Linked DNA regions of Alligator mississippiensis. The protein of the gene in region 2 purifies or fractionates together with the protein of the main gene of each other region. This does not show direct contact. Links are inferred from orthologs where the notes say so. Each region holds a gene or a part of one and is shown on either strand. Other genes may lie near its edges.

Region 1 (8,137 bases), on a different chromosome or scaffold from region 2:
TTCCCAGCAGGAGGCTGGGTAGAGCTACACTCGGGACAGGCAGTGGTAGCACTGAGAGGGGTATATGGGGAGGCTACAGCCACCCCAAAATTCACTGTAGCCCCCACAACCTCTCTCCCAGAACCGCTGCCTGTCCCGAGCGCAGCCCCAGCCCAAGCCCCCCCACCAGGAAGAGCTCCGCGCAGCCCCGGCCCCAGCCCACAGCAACAGCCTGTCCTCGCCCTGTGCGCAGATCCAGGGGCACACACCTGCCATGCCCCCCTGGGGTGCATGCAGCAGTGAGAGCTGCCACCCTCTCCCCGCACCCTCCGGACAAGTCGCTTGTGGCTCTGTCCCCCGCTCCACGCCAGCTGTGCAGCACCTGCCCCAACCCCTGCCTAGCCCCACTTCCTCCCTCACCACAGGGGTCTCGATCTGCGTCCCCATGCCCGTTTCCTCACAACAGACTTACCAGCCAGACCCAGCTGCTTTCCATGCTGCTGGGCTGAGCTCCTGCCGCCTGTGTGCTGCACTGCGGCTGGGCGGATGCATGGGGAATTACTGGCCACATCAGCCAAAAAAAGCCAATATCTGATAGTCAGTTTTCCTTATATCGGTGCCAATCTGATATGGGACCCATGTATTGGTGCACCTCTAGTAGCAATCACTTTTCCTGTGCCAGCATAGGAAAAAGCAGCAGTAGTGGGCACTTTCCCTAAGCCAGTGGCGGGCACTTTTCTGGTGCTGGCATAGGAAGCAGCAGCAGCAGATGCATTCCCTGTGCCAGCAGCAGGCACTTTTCCTGTGTCAATGCGGGGAGAAAAGGCTGTGGCAAGTGCTTTGCCCACACCAGAGGTGAATGCTTTCCTTGTGCCCATGCAAGGAAAAAAGCAGTGGGACCAAGTACAGGGAAAAGTGGCCGTGGCAGGCACTCTTCCCACGCCAGCACGAGGGGAAGCAGCAGTGGTGTGTGTTTTTCCTGTGCCTGCCATGGGACCTCCCTTTGTCCATCTGCCTCTGACTTGAACTGTGTCAATATGACCTGCAGTCTTAAAAAGCTGCTGATCACGGCATTAAACTCTACTGAAAATTAGGGTACGAGTAAACTTACCTCAAAGTTACTCAGCAATGCAGCATTGGCATCTTTTCTAGAAAAAGGAATAAAACATGTTTCAGAATATTTTGTATAAAAAAAATTTAAAAATCACCATCTTCCTCTCTACTAACACTAAAAAGTAGAAATCGTTAAATTCAGGAATTCTTTCCAATAAAATTCTCAGGATCACAATTTTGTTAATTCCTCCACTGTTCCTGGCTGTTGCTACCTATGGCAGTCACGAATATTTTACACAACCTAATTATGCTTATTACTATTAGACAAGAATATTTGGCTCAATTGATCCACAAAGTAGTGTTTAACTTGCTCAGCAAAATCCTCTGAATTGGGACAGCCTACTACCATTTCAATTAACAGCCCATTCAGTTATTCCTTGCTCCTTAAAGTTTTGTCTGGATAAAGTGACGCACAAAACAATAACAGAAATCTACCGAGTGGGTAGATACAGATATTGAGATGTAACAGGGGGCTTCCTCAGGGCCGATCTCCATGGCCTGCCCACCTGTCCTTGGGCCAACCGCCCGCTATCTCACCTGCCACGCCTTGGCGTTAATTGATTCATTAATAGATGTCACATAAGCGGGAAGCTACCCATTTTAGTGCCCCAATGCCAGGGGGTGCTCTCTGTGGCTCCTATCCTCCCCAATACCGCAGCCCAAGCCTCGCAGATGGCATCTAGGTGTTCATCTCCTCACCGGCCCCCACGCTGGGCCCCTGAATCTTCCAAACAGGACCCCTCCCCGATCCCTCTGATCAGGCGGCCTCTCCGCCTTCATCTGGGCTACCTAGCCCCCCACAAAGCCATTTTCCCCTCTCGGGTGTGGTCCCCCCGGGACCTTCGGCCACTAGCCCTGGCCCACCTCCAGGCCAGTCGGGACCCCAGGCCCCTGGCTCTTGGGCATCCCTCGCCCTTTAGACCCTCCTGGTCCTGGCCCCAGCATGGGCCAGTCGAGGGGACTCCCTCGTCCGGGTCGGGTCTCAAGCCCCTCACTTTCTCCCAGGGTCCGCCCTCTAGGCCCTTTACAAACACTGGGGTTACCCCCCCGCTGGTGGGGGCAAGGGGTTAAGGCGCCCCGACCTGCCTTTCACCGGGGTGGTAACCGGCCTGGCATTTCCTGGGGGCTCCCGCGCCACTGAGAGCCCCACCAGGCCACCCACTCCCGGCAGGGGGCAGTTTGAGGTCATGCCCAGGACCAGGAGCCTCCTTACCATCCCCTTCAGCTCCTCCCTTACCTCCAGGTTGTTTTCGGCAGCTCTCCAGCCAGGCGATGTTGCTGCCTGGCCTCCAGCAGCCAAACTGCCCTGTTTATATAGGCAGCCCTTGCCTCTAAAATGGCTGCCCTCGTCAGGCACCTGGTGGCTGCCAGCTCCAGGCCCTTAAAGTGGCAGGCGCACACAGTGCCCTGCCACAATAGATAATGTATACAAACACACATACAGGTAAGTGAGGTCTATATATGTATCTGTAACTATGCACACACACATACTCTATAGCATGGGTGGGCATTATTTGGGCTGGAGGGCCGCTTACAGAGTTTTGGTGAGCTGTTGTGGGCCAGGTCAGCAATCACCCCCACCATCAACAGCTCACCAAAGCTCCCTAAGTGACTCCATGATGAGCCAGCAGCTGAGATAGAGCTGCGGGGCAGGCAGAAAGCGGCATCCATGAGCAGGACAGGTGGGCAGGTCCAGGGCTGGAACCGGGGGGGATGTGACAATATGGACAGAGCAATGATCTGCTCCCCACACACCCCTGCAATGGGTGCTGGTTCTGCGGGCAGGGGCCTGGGGGGAGCAGATCGCAGCTCTGCCCTGGGCCCCAGCCCTGCACTGCCACTGCCCCACAATCCTGGGCAGGTAGTGTGGCCAGGTGGATGGGATGGGGCCGCAGGTGGGTGGGGAGCAGCATCCAGGAGCTGGACATGCAAGAGGAGCCGGATCCAGGATCTTGGGGCAGTGATAGTGTGAGGCCAGGAACTGATGCAGAACTGCAATCTGCTCCCCACACACCTCTGCCTGCGGAAACAGTGCCCACTGCAGGGATGCGTGGGCAGCGGATCAAGGCTCTGCCCCAGGCCCTTTTACTGCCCTGTGATCCTGGCTCCAGCCTGGCCCTGGCCTTCCCCACCCGCGCTGCTCCTGGACACCGCTCCCCAGCCCCATCCCCTCCACCTGGCCGCCCACCCTGCCCACATGGGTGGGACTCCTGGCAGTGAGGCTGGGTCCAGTGGCAGTGGCAGTCAGAAGGAGCTGCCCCTAGCCTGCTTTGCACCCTGGGGGCAGCAGGACCAGCCGCACATGCCACAGCCTGGGCTGCTCCCCACAGTCCCGGGGCTGATCCAATTATGCAAGAATCGCTCTTACATATTATTGCTGGATCGAACAATCTGAGTAAAGTGTATTTCTGAATTGAGCATGCTCCCATTAATTAGACTAGAAAATATTGTAATTTCATATTTTCAAGTAAATACAACTTCTGTAGGACAAGCAGCGAGGAGCTAGCCATATATCCTGAGAACAATGCATTCTGCTGAGTCACCAGACAGTTACCATACAAAGGGGAAAAAAAAGGGCTTTTCTCAGGTCTGCGACAGCACATAAAAAAAAGCAAAATGCATTGTCAAGCACCATCAACTCTCTGAATAGCACTGTCACATTCATCACAGTCAAACATGTGAATGCCTTCCAAACGTCCACAGGTTCTATCATTGTTTTTAAATGAAAGGGACCTTGTAAAATACGCTGAGATGAACTTAAAATTCCAATTAGCTGATTCTAGTGAAACTTCAGCAAGTGAGCTCACACACGCATCAGTTTCCATTCATGTTTTACAAGCCATATAGCTTTTGTAGTTTTGTTCTTAGGTAAACACAATTCTTTGAAATCTGCATTCAGCCTATCTCCGCAGAAATCCCTATGCACGGAGGATGTTCTTTGTTTCTGGAAATAATAGCGCCATGGAAGAATTACATACAGATTCTTTCCATTAAAAAAACTGAGAAGATCCTGGACTGTATATTCAACAGGCAAGCACAGAATGAATCAGCAGTTCGTTTAACTGCGATTTTATACTGTTTAAATCAAGCGTGGGTTTGTTTTTAAAATGGTAAACCTTTTGGGACCACAAGCACTTAAACTTCTTTTGTACCAATTAACAGCAAACAGAAACCCATCCAGTTGTCAAGCTGTTACTTAAAAAATTAAGTTTTTACTAGCGGGATTGATTATTGCTAAGGGTATGGGGAGATACAAATTTATTATAGCTACAAAGTCCTCTTGCTGTTCAGTACTTTGTCAAGCTACGAGGATTTTAAATGAAATAATATAGCAAACATTATGGCCAGCGTGCTTATTCAGGTTGATTTGTATCATTACAAAAAAAATTGGCAAAGCAGAAACAGACTTCAGTTTTTATGTCAGTCTGCACCGTCGTATGAACGTCTGAACAACCAAAAAGTATGCATGCAATATATCAGCATGCAGTTTATTTTTATAGCAATTCTAATTTGGGGATTTTACATCAGTTATCTACATAGCGCACTTAGGAGTAACCTGTACATGGAAAAGGAAAAAAAAAAATGACTTAATTTGAAACCTCTTCCGTAAATATATTTTAGATTCCTTTGGGAAAAAAAAGTATTTTTTTAACCTAAATTACTAAGATCATCCTCATGTACTACAGATTCGTCTCATCTTAGTCCATAAGAGCCACTCTTTTAAGATATACTTTAGAATACAATTGCCATGGTACGCTCCTATAGGAAATTAAACAAAAATGATCCATTTCTAAACCAAACAGCTCATCCTCCTCCCCCTCTATCCAGGCCTTAAAAACCTCCAAGAATGCAGCCTCCCCCACGTCCGGGTGACCTGCTGCGGCGCTTCACCGCCCTCCTAGTGAGAAAATTTTCCCCAATGTCCAAAACTCAGTAAGTGGCCGTCGCCCCTGGTCCCCCCCCGTGTCACCGCCGTCAAGCGAGGCTCGGAGACGCCCGGGGTTTCTTCAGAGGCCTTCATGTTGCCATCTGCGCGGCCCACGCTTGCAAATCTACTGCGCGGCCAGGAGCATGCGCACGGCCAGGCCTTTTCTCCCCGGGGTTAAGAAAATAGCGTTTTTGGGAGGGGGAACGGCCCGGGGGTGAATCACTCCCCACCCGGGGACATTTTTGCTCTGGGAGAAAACAAACCACGACTCTCCCAGTCCTCTCCCCGCACCCGCGGCCTCTTCCCCCCGCGCGGCCCTTACACGTCCATGGCGCCCGTGCTGCGTCCCGGGGGCAAGGAGAAGGACGAGGGGGCGGGGCGGGGCGGGGCGGGGCGAAGCGCAGCGCAGCGCAGCGCAGCGCGGGGGCCGCCGGGAAAAAGAACGTCGGAAGCGGCAAAAAAAGGTTACACTTGCATTGGCCGGGAATCGAACCCGGGCCTCCCGCGTGGCAGGCGAGAATTCTACCACTGAACCACCAATGCGGACGCACGCGGTGCGGCTGCCCCGCTCGCTCCTCCCGCGCCGCAACGCCCTGCACGGGCTGCCCTGCACTAATTGTGGGTCCCTTCGGGTCTGCCCTGCAGCACCCTGCTTGTGGGTCCATGCAGGTGTGCCCTGCACCAATTGTGGGTCCATGCAGGTGTGCCCTGCCCTGCTTTGGGGTCCATGAAAGTCTGCCCTGCACCAATTGTGGGTCCATGCAGGTGTGCCCTGCCCTGCCCTGCTTTGGGGTCCATGCAAGTCTGCCCTGCACCAATTGTGGGTCCATGCAGGTGTGCCCTGTCCTGGTTGTGGGTCTGCCCTGCACCGAACACTTTGGTTGTGGGTCTCTGCAGCTTTGCCCTACACTAGGTGCATCTACACATCGCCATACGGGAACGGTGTGACTGCGCTGTGCTTTTGGAAGTACTAAAACATGGTGTGGTAACCGCCTGGACGGTGCCAAATGGGCACCACGTGTTTAAATTTTCTCGCTGTGTCTCCAGAGCAGGGCACCGTAAGCGGGGAGCGCGCCACTACTGCGACGTAGCTAGCGATACGTCGCCGTAGCGTGCCATGCGTCACTATGTCGCCATAGGGTGATGTGCAGGCGCGCCCGCTGCTTTGGTTGCTTCTTGCCCTTTCTCCTGACGGTGAAGGGAGAGGTTTCACCTGCCCACAAAAAGAAAGGCCCACTGCTGGCACAAGGCTTGGCACAGGCAGAAACACCCCAGAATTCACCAGTTTGAGTTGTGTGTGTCCCAGCCAGCTTCGGCTGTGATAATAAAAGGGGAAGAGTGAATCAAATCATTTTTGTCCGTCCAGAAAATGAACTCCGGGCCTTGCACGCACAGCATGTCGCCATCACCTGTGTGAACAACATGATACCTTATAGGAAATCCTCTCCTGGGTGCCATCAGGCATTTCTTCCTAAAGTGCTTTTATGGGTCTCATCAGCTGACACACCAATATTCCACCTTCTTCACCGCCCTCCCACTGGTTATAACCTCAATATATTGTATTACAGTTTGCATCAACCCCGTTTCAACCCAGAGAAAGCGAGCTCCGCTCTTCTCCGGACACAGCTGAGAATTGCTTTGGATACAGCACGCAAAACAACGGCCTTGCCCGTGACCATAGGACAGGCCTGCGCAATACAAGAAACTCCTTGTGTCCTCTGAGTTTAGGGCCATGCTATTACTTGGGATCCAGCAAATAGCCATCGAGCCCTAATGACCCAGGGAGGTGACCCAAAATGGTATCTTCTCTAGAAGAGTCAGCCTCTTTCATCAATGAAAGGACTGAAATATGAACCACCACGGTCATACCCCTGGAACCACCACAGTCGTTGCACAGTGACAGCAATGAACAAACACCCAGATCAACAGACAGACTCCAGAGAGAGCTAGAGTCGCCTTTGTTTGTTCATGTGATTTACTGACCCTGGCACAATATGGCCAAAACCAGCAGAGCAAAGTCCTGCGACAGCTCTGCCGGGTGCTATACGATACCACGTGCACCTGCTTTTTTATGCTTAGCATCTCATTTCTGTCTTCCAACACCAGGTAATTATCTGCATCTTATTTGATATCTTTCCTAGGGCTTCGTTCCTGAGCCCTGCTATGCACTTCAGCCACTGGGCTCTGGAGTTCATGCACAACCAAAATTATCACTGTGCTCCACACAAACTACTTTCCAAAGAGAAGATGCAAAAGTAGTGATTAGCCCAGGTATCTCGGTTTTTAATTTCTGTACTTCTGATTGGACTCAGCGGCTTGGGATGTGTACATTCGAGTATCCATAGGGAATGCAGACATGGAATTTTCTAAATGTGCAACGTATAAACATTTCAAGCATAGGATTGTGATTGTTACCACTAAGGCTCAATGAGAGAGGAGCCTTGGTATTAACTACTGAAAGCAGGGGACATAGTAACTGCTATGGAAAGCAGATCTGCAATGTATCTATTCTTTGTCATGAAAGATGTTTTCTGTATTCAGCATTTTGCATCTTTTTTACATTCAAAATTCATTAAACAATTCTTTTTATAAAACATGTCAGCACTGCTCCACACCAACCCAGCTAACAGTGCATTTCACTGACCAGCAGACCGAGTCTATAGGATGACTTTAGGGCAAAGGTTATGTGAGTCAATTCATTTCTAGCGTTAGGCCTAATACAAAGAGTATATTCCTGCAAATCACTATATAAAGCACTGAAAGGACTGAACATGATTATTAAAAACTCCTGTAATAAAGGAAAAATTAAAAGAAATCGGTAATGCTGTAACTAGTCCCCAAGAAGCAAGTGCGGTTAAGGCACGAATCTCTAATTTTTTGGAACAACGAAATGTAGTAAAATAAAGTTCAATGTTTCTTTGCAGTTGAATGTGCCATATTCCCCTCCAGAGCACCCCAGTATGTGTGGTACATCAGCTTGGAAAAGAAAAAGATCAGAAATGGGACTGTGCTCCATTCCCTGTCCCCAGGAGAAATGATCTGAAGTACATAGTGCCATTTCATCAGGGGCTTCATAGAAGCAAGTAAAAAAGCAAAATGATAAAGCAGAAAGTGGGA
Region 2 (7,660 bases):
CAAAACAAAGTTCTTTTTCACACAGCCTGTCATTCAAGGGTAGAACTCATTGCCACCAGTTGTGGAAGCTGACAGTTTAGCCAGACCTAACGAAGTATTGGACAAATTCTTGGACAAAAGGTGCATCAGTAGCTATTGAGCATGGGAGTTTGGGGCACAGCCTGTGTACTTCCTAGACCTTAAGGGTGCCCAGACATGAGCAGGAAGATAGCTCTGACGTGCTGGAATTCCAGCACTTTGAAGCAGACTCGGAGAGGACTCCAGCAGCCTCCTGCATCTCATGCATCAGTGTCCCCATGCTTATAAATGGCAGGAGGGGAGGGGGGTGGGCACTTGAACTAAAGTTCCATCAAACAAGCTTGAGTTCAAGCACTCCCACTGCCATCTTCAAGTACAGGATGGTGCCTCGGCCGGGAAGAACCGACCGAGGGAAACGCTGGTTAATTAAGCGAACATCAGGCGGGCTGGTGGATGGAGAGGAGAGACAGCGTATTGGTTGGAAAAATAGTTTTTACTTACGCCGCTGATGGCCGCAACGCAGGCTGTAAAGGCTGCTTGCGTAGTTGCAACGAGTTGCTCCAACTGGCAAAAACCCGAGCCAGTGAGTCCACAAACGAACCGGGCATGCAGGGAAAGGGTACGTCGGGGATAAGCGTTCGGCGACGAGGAGAAAAATCGATAGTTGATCAGGCTATCGATTCGCTCTGCCACAAGTCAGGAATTCTTTTAAGTCACTCTGCAGCGTGCTCAAAGTTCTCCGACTTGGGCGGAAGTCGCGCGGATTTTTATACGGCTAGCGAGCCAATTACTAGCTGTCAAGTAGGAATAATTTAGAATCAGCCAATAATGGGGTGCAAATTTACATACAAATGGCGGGAACCTTTTTGCACCAGAGTTTACTCTCTGCAGCAGGAAATTCTACCGTGCAAAGAAGCTCCAGTGTGGCGGGAAAATTCCACTGTGCCGAGGCCCACAGGGCCCTGCCCCCCAGGGACCACGGGGCCTGGGACCACGATGGCTGCCCCATGCCGGAACCACGGGGGGGGGGGGAACGGCACGGCACGGCAGGGAAAGGCAGGGAGGGACCCCAGGCAGGGAAAGAGCCCAGCAAAAAGTGACCTGGGAAAAAGCTGAGCATGGGCGGGGGGAAAGTGGCCCCTCGCCTACCCTGTGCCCGGCACCCCACGCTGCAGCTGCTCGCAGCCTGCATGGGGCTGCCTGTGCCTGCTCCAGACAGCACCGTGGGCTGTGAGTGGCTGCAGCAGGGAGCGCCGGCCTTGGGGTAAGGAGGGGCCACTTTTCCCCGTGCTCAGCTTTTCCCTGGGCTCCTTCCTGAGGCGGAGGAAAGCAGCCACTCCCCGTCCTCGTGGCTGGTGCCCCGCACTGCAGTTGCTTGCAGCCCGTGCAGAACTGTCTGGAGCAGGCACAGGCAGCCCCACGTGGGCTGCAAGCGGCTGCAGCGTGAGGTGCCGGGTGAGGGGCCACTTTTCCCCCCCCTGCGCTCAGCACCACCTTGTGACCCAGCACCACTGCCACCCTGGGCCCCGCACTGGCTCTGGGCTCACCAGACAGGGCTGCACATAACAACAGCAGCTGCAGCGCCCCCCCGCTTGCTGCGCTGGGCAGTTTGCCACCACTGCCTCTGGGCTGCCCAACGCACGAGCTCCGGGCAGGCAGCAGCAGCCAACACTGCCCGGTGCGGCAAGTTGGGGGGGCGGGTGTGTGCAGCTGCTGCCGCTAACGGGCGAGCCCAGAGCTGGCTTGGAGCCCAGGCTGGTAGCAGGGCTGGGTTACAAGCTGGTGCTCAGCGCGGGGAAAAACGGCTCCTTGCTTGCCCCATGGCCAGCGCCCCACACTGTAGCCACTTGCAGCCCACATGGGGCTGCCTGTGCCTGCTCCAGACAGCCTCGCATGGGCTGCAAGCGCCTGCAGCAGAGAGCGCCAGCCATGGGGCAAGCGAGGGGCCACTTTTCCCCATGCTCAGCACCAGCTTCTTCCCTACTAACAAGCAGGGGGTCAGGGCTGTGCACTGCCCTCTGCCTGTACTGCAGGGCTGAAGGGCACTGGGAGTGAATGGGCAGGGGTCCAGTGGGAGCACGGGGCCCGCATCTGTGTCCCGGGGTCAGTGCTGGTGGGGCCCAGAACAGGGTGGCAGGAACACAGGGTCCCAGCCCGCAAGGGCTCTATGGAGCCGGGCCAGCTCCCTCCTCCCTGCTGGTGCAGCCCAGCCTGGCTCCACGGACCCCTGCCAGCCTGTGCCCTGCTCTGGGCCCCCCTGGTACTGGCCCTGGGATATTGGTCCCAAGATTGTGACCAGGCGGCGTGGCACCTGTCAAGGGGCAGGTCTATCCATGCAGCCCTCGACAGCCTGCCAAAACTGGGTAAGCGGCCCTCTGCCTGAAATAACTGCCCGCCCCTGCCCTATCATCTGACCCAGCAAGTGGCAACGTTCTTTTTCTACCCTGGGAAATGACAAGGCCTGTTCAGCATGCCAGTACCTGCATGTGGCACCAAGCTGGTTGCCATTGCTTCCCCTGTCCCACGCCAGGCACCATATCACACCAAACCCTGCATTCTCAGGGCCCCAGGAGGGACACGAGCCCTGCTAGGAAAGAAGCCCCCAGGCTCACTCAGAGGAGAAACTGCAGAGCCATGGTACCTCTGGCATCCCCCTAAAGCAGGCCAATGGCCTTTCCCCTCCCCCACCGCCCAGCCCCAGGGGAAGGGGAAGGGCAGCCTCGGGCGGCTCCACTACAGGGGAATGCCGGCAGGCGCCCCGCGCATGCGCAGCCGAGCAGCCAGCACAGCGCGAGCCCAGCGTTCGGGCAGCCGCCAGGGGGCGGAAGAGCAGAGGGGGCGCACGCATGCGCGCTGGGGGGATGGGGATTCAGCTGCAAGGGCTCGCGCCAGTGCTAGCGTCCCTTCCAGGACTTGCGGGGAGGCGCTCACCTCCACGGTGTTCACGGGAGCCGCCGCCTGCTCCGGGCTCACCGCCCCCAGCTCGGCTGCCATCTCGTCCATAGTGCGGGCGGGGAAAGAAGTGGAGGCGGAGCCGGCGGAAGCGCGCACAATGGACCGCGGTGCAACAGCCAACCCCACCCGCGCCGCAGCCGGAACGTTCCGCCGCTTTTCAAGACCCGCCGAGCGCCACCCGCACCCACCCCCGCGCGGGCTCCTGCTCTGCTCCCTGCCCTGTGCTCGCTCCTGCAACTCCTGCTCCGTTTTCTGCTCTCTGCCCCATCTCCTACTTTGCTTTCTGCTCCCCATCCTATGCCCCCGCGCCTGTCTGCTGCGCGGCTTTCTGCTCCCTGCTCCCTTCTCAATCTTCTGCTTTGCTTTCTACCCCGTGCTCCCTCCCTGCTCTGCTTTCTGCTCCTTGCCCTGTGCACTCTTTCCCTTCTCTACTCATGCTTTCTGCCCAAACTCCTGCTCCCTGCCCGATTTGCTGCTTAGCTTTCTGCTCCCTCCTCTGCCCTCCACTGTGCCACATGCTACACACCCAGGCTACCTGTGCCACCCCTACCATCGCACCTAAATAGGAGTGGGGGATTTGCCCAGGGATCACCCAGGATATTTGTGGTAGAGGTAGAACCGAAAGTTTCCCGAGTACTTGTCTGGGGCTGGACCAAGAGGGCCACCCTGTCCTCAGCGAAGGCTGCAGCTCTGGAGCCTCCTCAAGATCCCACCACGAACTGGGGAGATGTGAGCAGAGAGAAATGAGTATCAGCCGCACAAGTAGAGCCAGGAGTGTCAAAAGGAAACCTCAGGGCACGTGCAAACTAGTGACCCTCCCTCTTTCTGCAGGGAGGGTGCTTTTCAGGTGATTTAAGTGGCAGTTTAAAGGTAGCAAGATTCACAGTAAAATCTTAGTGCTCCATTTATATTAAAGTTTGTGCTTAATAATTAAGTTCCACTTTTTGCACCGGAGTTTACTCTTTGCAGCAGGAAATTCTACCGTGCAAAGAAGCTCCAGTGTGGCGGGAAAATTCCACTGTGCCAAGGCACTAAAATCATTGGGTTATGACAGAATGCTGATGCACAAGATGCAGCAGCACTAATTAGACTGGCATTCAGGGCTGCTCTAATTAAAGCACTGCCTCTCCCATGCTCAGAGCACTTGTAAAAGTACCCTAAATGCTGGAGGCTGCAAGTGACAGGAATGGGGAGGGGGAAACCCTGGTCACACCCAGTTCACACTCCCTTTTAGCATCCTCTCCCAGCCACCATGCAGCACAAGAGATGGAGCAAGATGGCCTATGATAGGGGTGGGCAAAATACAGCCCACGAGGCCATTCTATCCAGCCTGTGGGGCCCCTAAAAAAATTAGAAAATTAATATTCATTTGCCCTTGGTTCCTATCAAAAATGCCCTGCCCCCTTGGTCATCATTTTGGAACTGGAAGTCCCACCCCCTAATCCCTGACCTTTGCCACCAGAAGTCCCTCCCCTTTCCCCCAGAAATACTCCTTTTGGGAAGGGGGTTTGCCATCTTGGAACCAGAAAAATACCAAATTATATTCTAAAAGTCAAACATTAATTTGATTAAAAAAATATTTTGTCCTGATTTACTTGTGTTTGTGTAGTGTACATAGAAGTGATAGTATAATAGCTTAAAATTAAGTCTTACCCTTGTATATTTAGTATAGGTTTGTGGGAGGCTGTATGTGCATGAGGTTTGTGGGGGGACAGCTGTAAGTGGGTGGGGGGAGGGTGACTGGGAAGGGTTGTGGCATATGTGGAAAGGGAGAGTGGCTGGGGGTGTGTGGGGCGTTTATGCCCACAGCCCCTGCCACCAGCATCAGCAGCAAGCCATGAGGCCTCGGGGCCCCTGGCAGGTGGAGGCCCTACCAGTGCTCCTGGGCTCAGCACTCCCACCGCCCCTGGTGCCGGGGCACAAGCACGGGCCCTGTACTCCTACCTGCCCAGTCACAGCCACTTCCCCTCCACTGCCTTTCTCCCATTACTTCCCTAACTCCCTGCTATTGCTGCTCCTGCTCCCCCACCACCACCTGCTCCAACACCACATGGTTCCCAGTTGCACAGCCAAATCTGCAGAACACAGCAGGAGCCTGCCCAGCCGGTACTGCAGAACCAGCCAGGAATTGAGGGGGCCAGGCTAGGCCAGCTCCTGCCATGTCCTGTGGTCCAACAATGCAGCCAGGAACCACGTGGTGCCAAAGCAGCCAGCAGACGGGCAGAGTGGTGGGAGAAGCAGCAGTTGCAGGCAGGGGCTCAGCAACAGCCAAGCAGGAATGTGGAGCCCAAACCAGTGCTCCGGTGCCAGGGCTGGCAGGGGCCCAGGGAAGGGCAGCAGAAGCATGGGGTGCAGGTTGGTAGGAACTCTATGGAGCTGGGCTAGGCTGCGCCAACAGGGAGAGCCAGTCCAGGCCCCCCACTCCTACCACCCAACCCCAAGTCCCCACTGGCTCTAGCCCCAGGGCACCAGTGCAGACCCTGCACTCCCACCCAGCTGTCACTGCACTCCCGCACACTGCCACTCTCCCCATTTGCTGCTACTGCAACTGCCATTTCCCTGCATGCCGCTGCCACTTTTCCCTGCTTGCGCGCCCAGCCACTGGCCAGTCCAGCACATGGTTCCCAGTTCCACCACCGGGACTGCAGGTTGCAACAGCTGGCCCAGCTCCAAGAACTTGGGCAATTGCTGGCAGTTCTCCCCTTCCTGCCACATCCTAGCTAAGTTGCACCAGGATGAGGGAACAGCCCCAGGGCTGCCAAGCCAGAAGGCTCTGCTAGGCAGATGCTTCCAGTTGGGGCCAGGTTGTGGGAGGAGGAAGGGGGAAAAGCAGGGCTGGGTGGGCTTTGCTGCTGCAGCCGCTCCTAGGTCCTGCTACTGCTTTCACCTTGTCATTTTGACAGGCAGCCAGGGGTACATACTAGTTTTCTAAATTTTGGGGGGGGCCCCTTGGGCCGGATAGAACGGCCTGGCAGGCTGAATCTGGCCCACGGGCCATATTTTACCCACCCGTTATAGTCTATATAAAAAGTGCAATCCTTCTTTGAAACCTACGAACTCAAGACTGGCCGCAACAGCAGTTAAGCATATAATTCCCACTATCACCCTTCCTTAGTGGCCTAGCTCCAGGTTGCTGTGCTAGGTTTCCCCTAGGTCTATCATATTTAAAAGGGGTAGTATTGGCATTTTTAAAATAAAAAATTTGCATGGATTTAGCCTGTTAGTACTGTACAACTTCTGCCATGATTGAGCCTAACAACCAGTTGAAGGCAATGAGCCCTTCTCAAGGATAGGGACAGTCTCCCAGAACATGCCTGTATTAGAAATTACATGTCACTGGGAATTGGGCACCTAAATAGATTTGTAGGTCCAGGCCTTGGACTCAGAATCTAGTGGCAATAAGTCCCAAGCATTTATTATGCATAGGTAAAAGTCACTTTGAATATGCAGCCTCTCAGTTTTACTAGGTGTTCTTGGTGTAGCACAAGAAATGCTACATTCACCCAATATCCATTTTTCTCTACCATTGGTTATAGCTCTTATTAAAAAAATATCAGTCCAATTTAGTAAGGAGATCTTTCATCCCCTGGACATCTTAATATGTCTTGAATAGTTTTAGGTCTAGCACTAGCTCCCTTTTGTTTTTGATATTAATAATGGGAATAGGAAATAGGAATCAGCCTTGTAAATTAAAAGACAACACAAGCCTTCACTTATGAGGCTGACACAATTGCATTCATGTCTGCTACATGACCAGAATGGTTCTGAACAAAATGCAAATTTTCTGGGTTTTGTGGAAGTTCTGAGCTATCGCTTCATCAGATGTTATTTTGTCGTGAGGTTTGTGTAAATTATTTAAGGCTCGTTTCAAAACCATGAACTTCATTAAATCAAAACAGACCAAGGAATAAAATAGATAAAACACAAACAAACAAAAAAAACACCCAACACATTTGTTCTGCTGCCAACACTCCTCCACCAAGATAAACAATTTCAAAACAACAGCTGTTTTCTTAATTGTAGACTTCATTTTTGGGTTTATCCCTTTCCTTTACATGCATCAGCATGTGTTCTCTATGCTGGGAGGGACATGGGTGGGGGAAGAAGAGTTTTGTAATCAATTTCTCAGACATTTAACAGAAACAGTGTGCATGAATGACTGCTCACAAAAGTGCTAGCACAAACAGAATTTAATGCATACAAAAATCTTGCAAATATTTGTTTAATTTAATAAAGCTGTTACATAACATTTGTCTTATTTTCACCAACACGAATTCAGAGTGGAAGCAAATATAATTAAGCCATGTTAGCAAAAATGGCATGCAACAGGTGAAAGGTCAGATGTGAGGTCCATATCCAAAGTATTAAACATCAATAATTACAATACATGAAGTATTTGCTTTAACTTATGCCATGCTATAACAATGCCCCTTTCAAATCACTTCAGTGGTTACAAAAATGTTTAGTCAATCCTCATTGTATAGTGGAAGTTACAGTGCAAACGTTTCCCCAGGTAGTTTAGAATCCTGTAGTTTGAAACATATTTCAACTGATATTGCCACAAGAGATTTTTCTTATTTACACTAGAAAAGTTAGTAAGAAAATACTATGATAAAAATTTGTCTCTAATATTTATAGTTTTCTTTAGGACCAAAGGTCGACTTTAAAATAGTTTATAATAAATATC

Evidence for each region.
Region 1: the proteins of POLR3B (region 2) and CRCP purify together in Homo sapiens (affinity purification with mass spectrometry; 5 studies listed by BioGRID and IntAct, with this or other methods). This does not show direct contact. The link is inferred for Alligator mississippiensis from reciprocal best matches to the Homo sapiens genes POLR3B and CRCP.

Annotation. Positions count from the first base shown.
Region 1 is NC_081837.1:10,088,248-10,096,384, forward strand, and holds the start of CRCP (DNA-directed RNA polymerase III subunit RPC9), read right to left. Parts: upstream 3,144-8,137; 5' UTR 2,533-3,143; coding exon 2,330-2,532; intron 1,128-2,329; coding exon 1,091-1,127; intron 1-1,090. UniProt on the Homo sapiens protein: DNA-dependent RNA polymerase catalyzes the transcription of DNA into RNA using the four ribonucleoside triphosphates as substrates.
Region 2 is NC_081827.1:104,550,507-104,558,166, forward strand, and holds the start of POLR3B (DNA-directed RNA polymerase III subunit RPC2), read right to left. Parts: upstream 3,058-7,660; 5' UTR 3,022-3,057; coding exon 2,950-3,021; intron 583-2,949; coding exon 520-582; intron 1-519. UniProt on the Homo sapiens protein: Catalytic core component of RNA polymerase III (Pol III), a DNA-dependent RNA polymerase which synthesizes small non-coding RNAs using the four ribonucleoside triphosphates as substrates.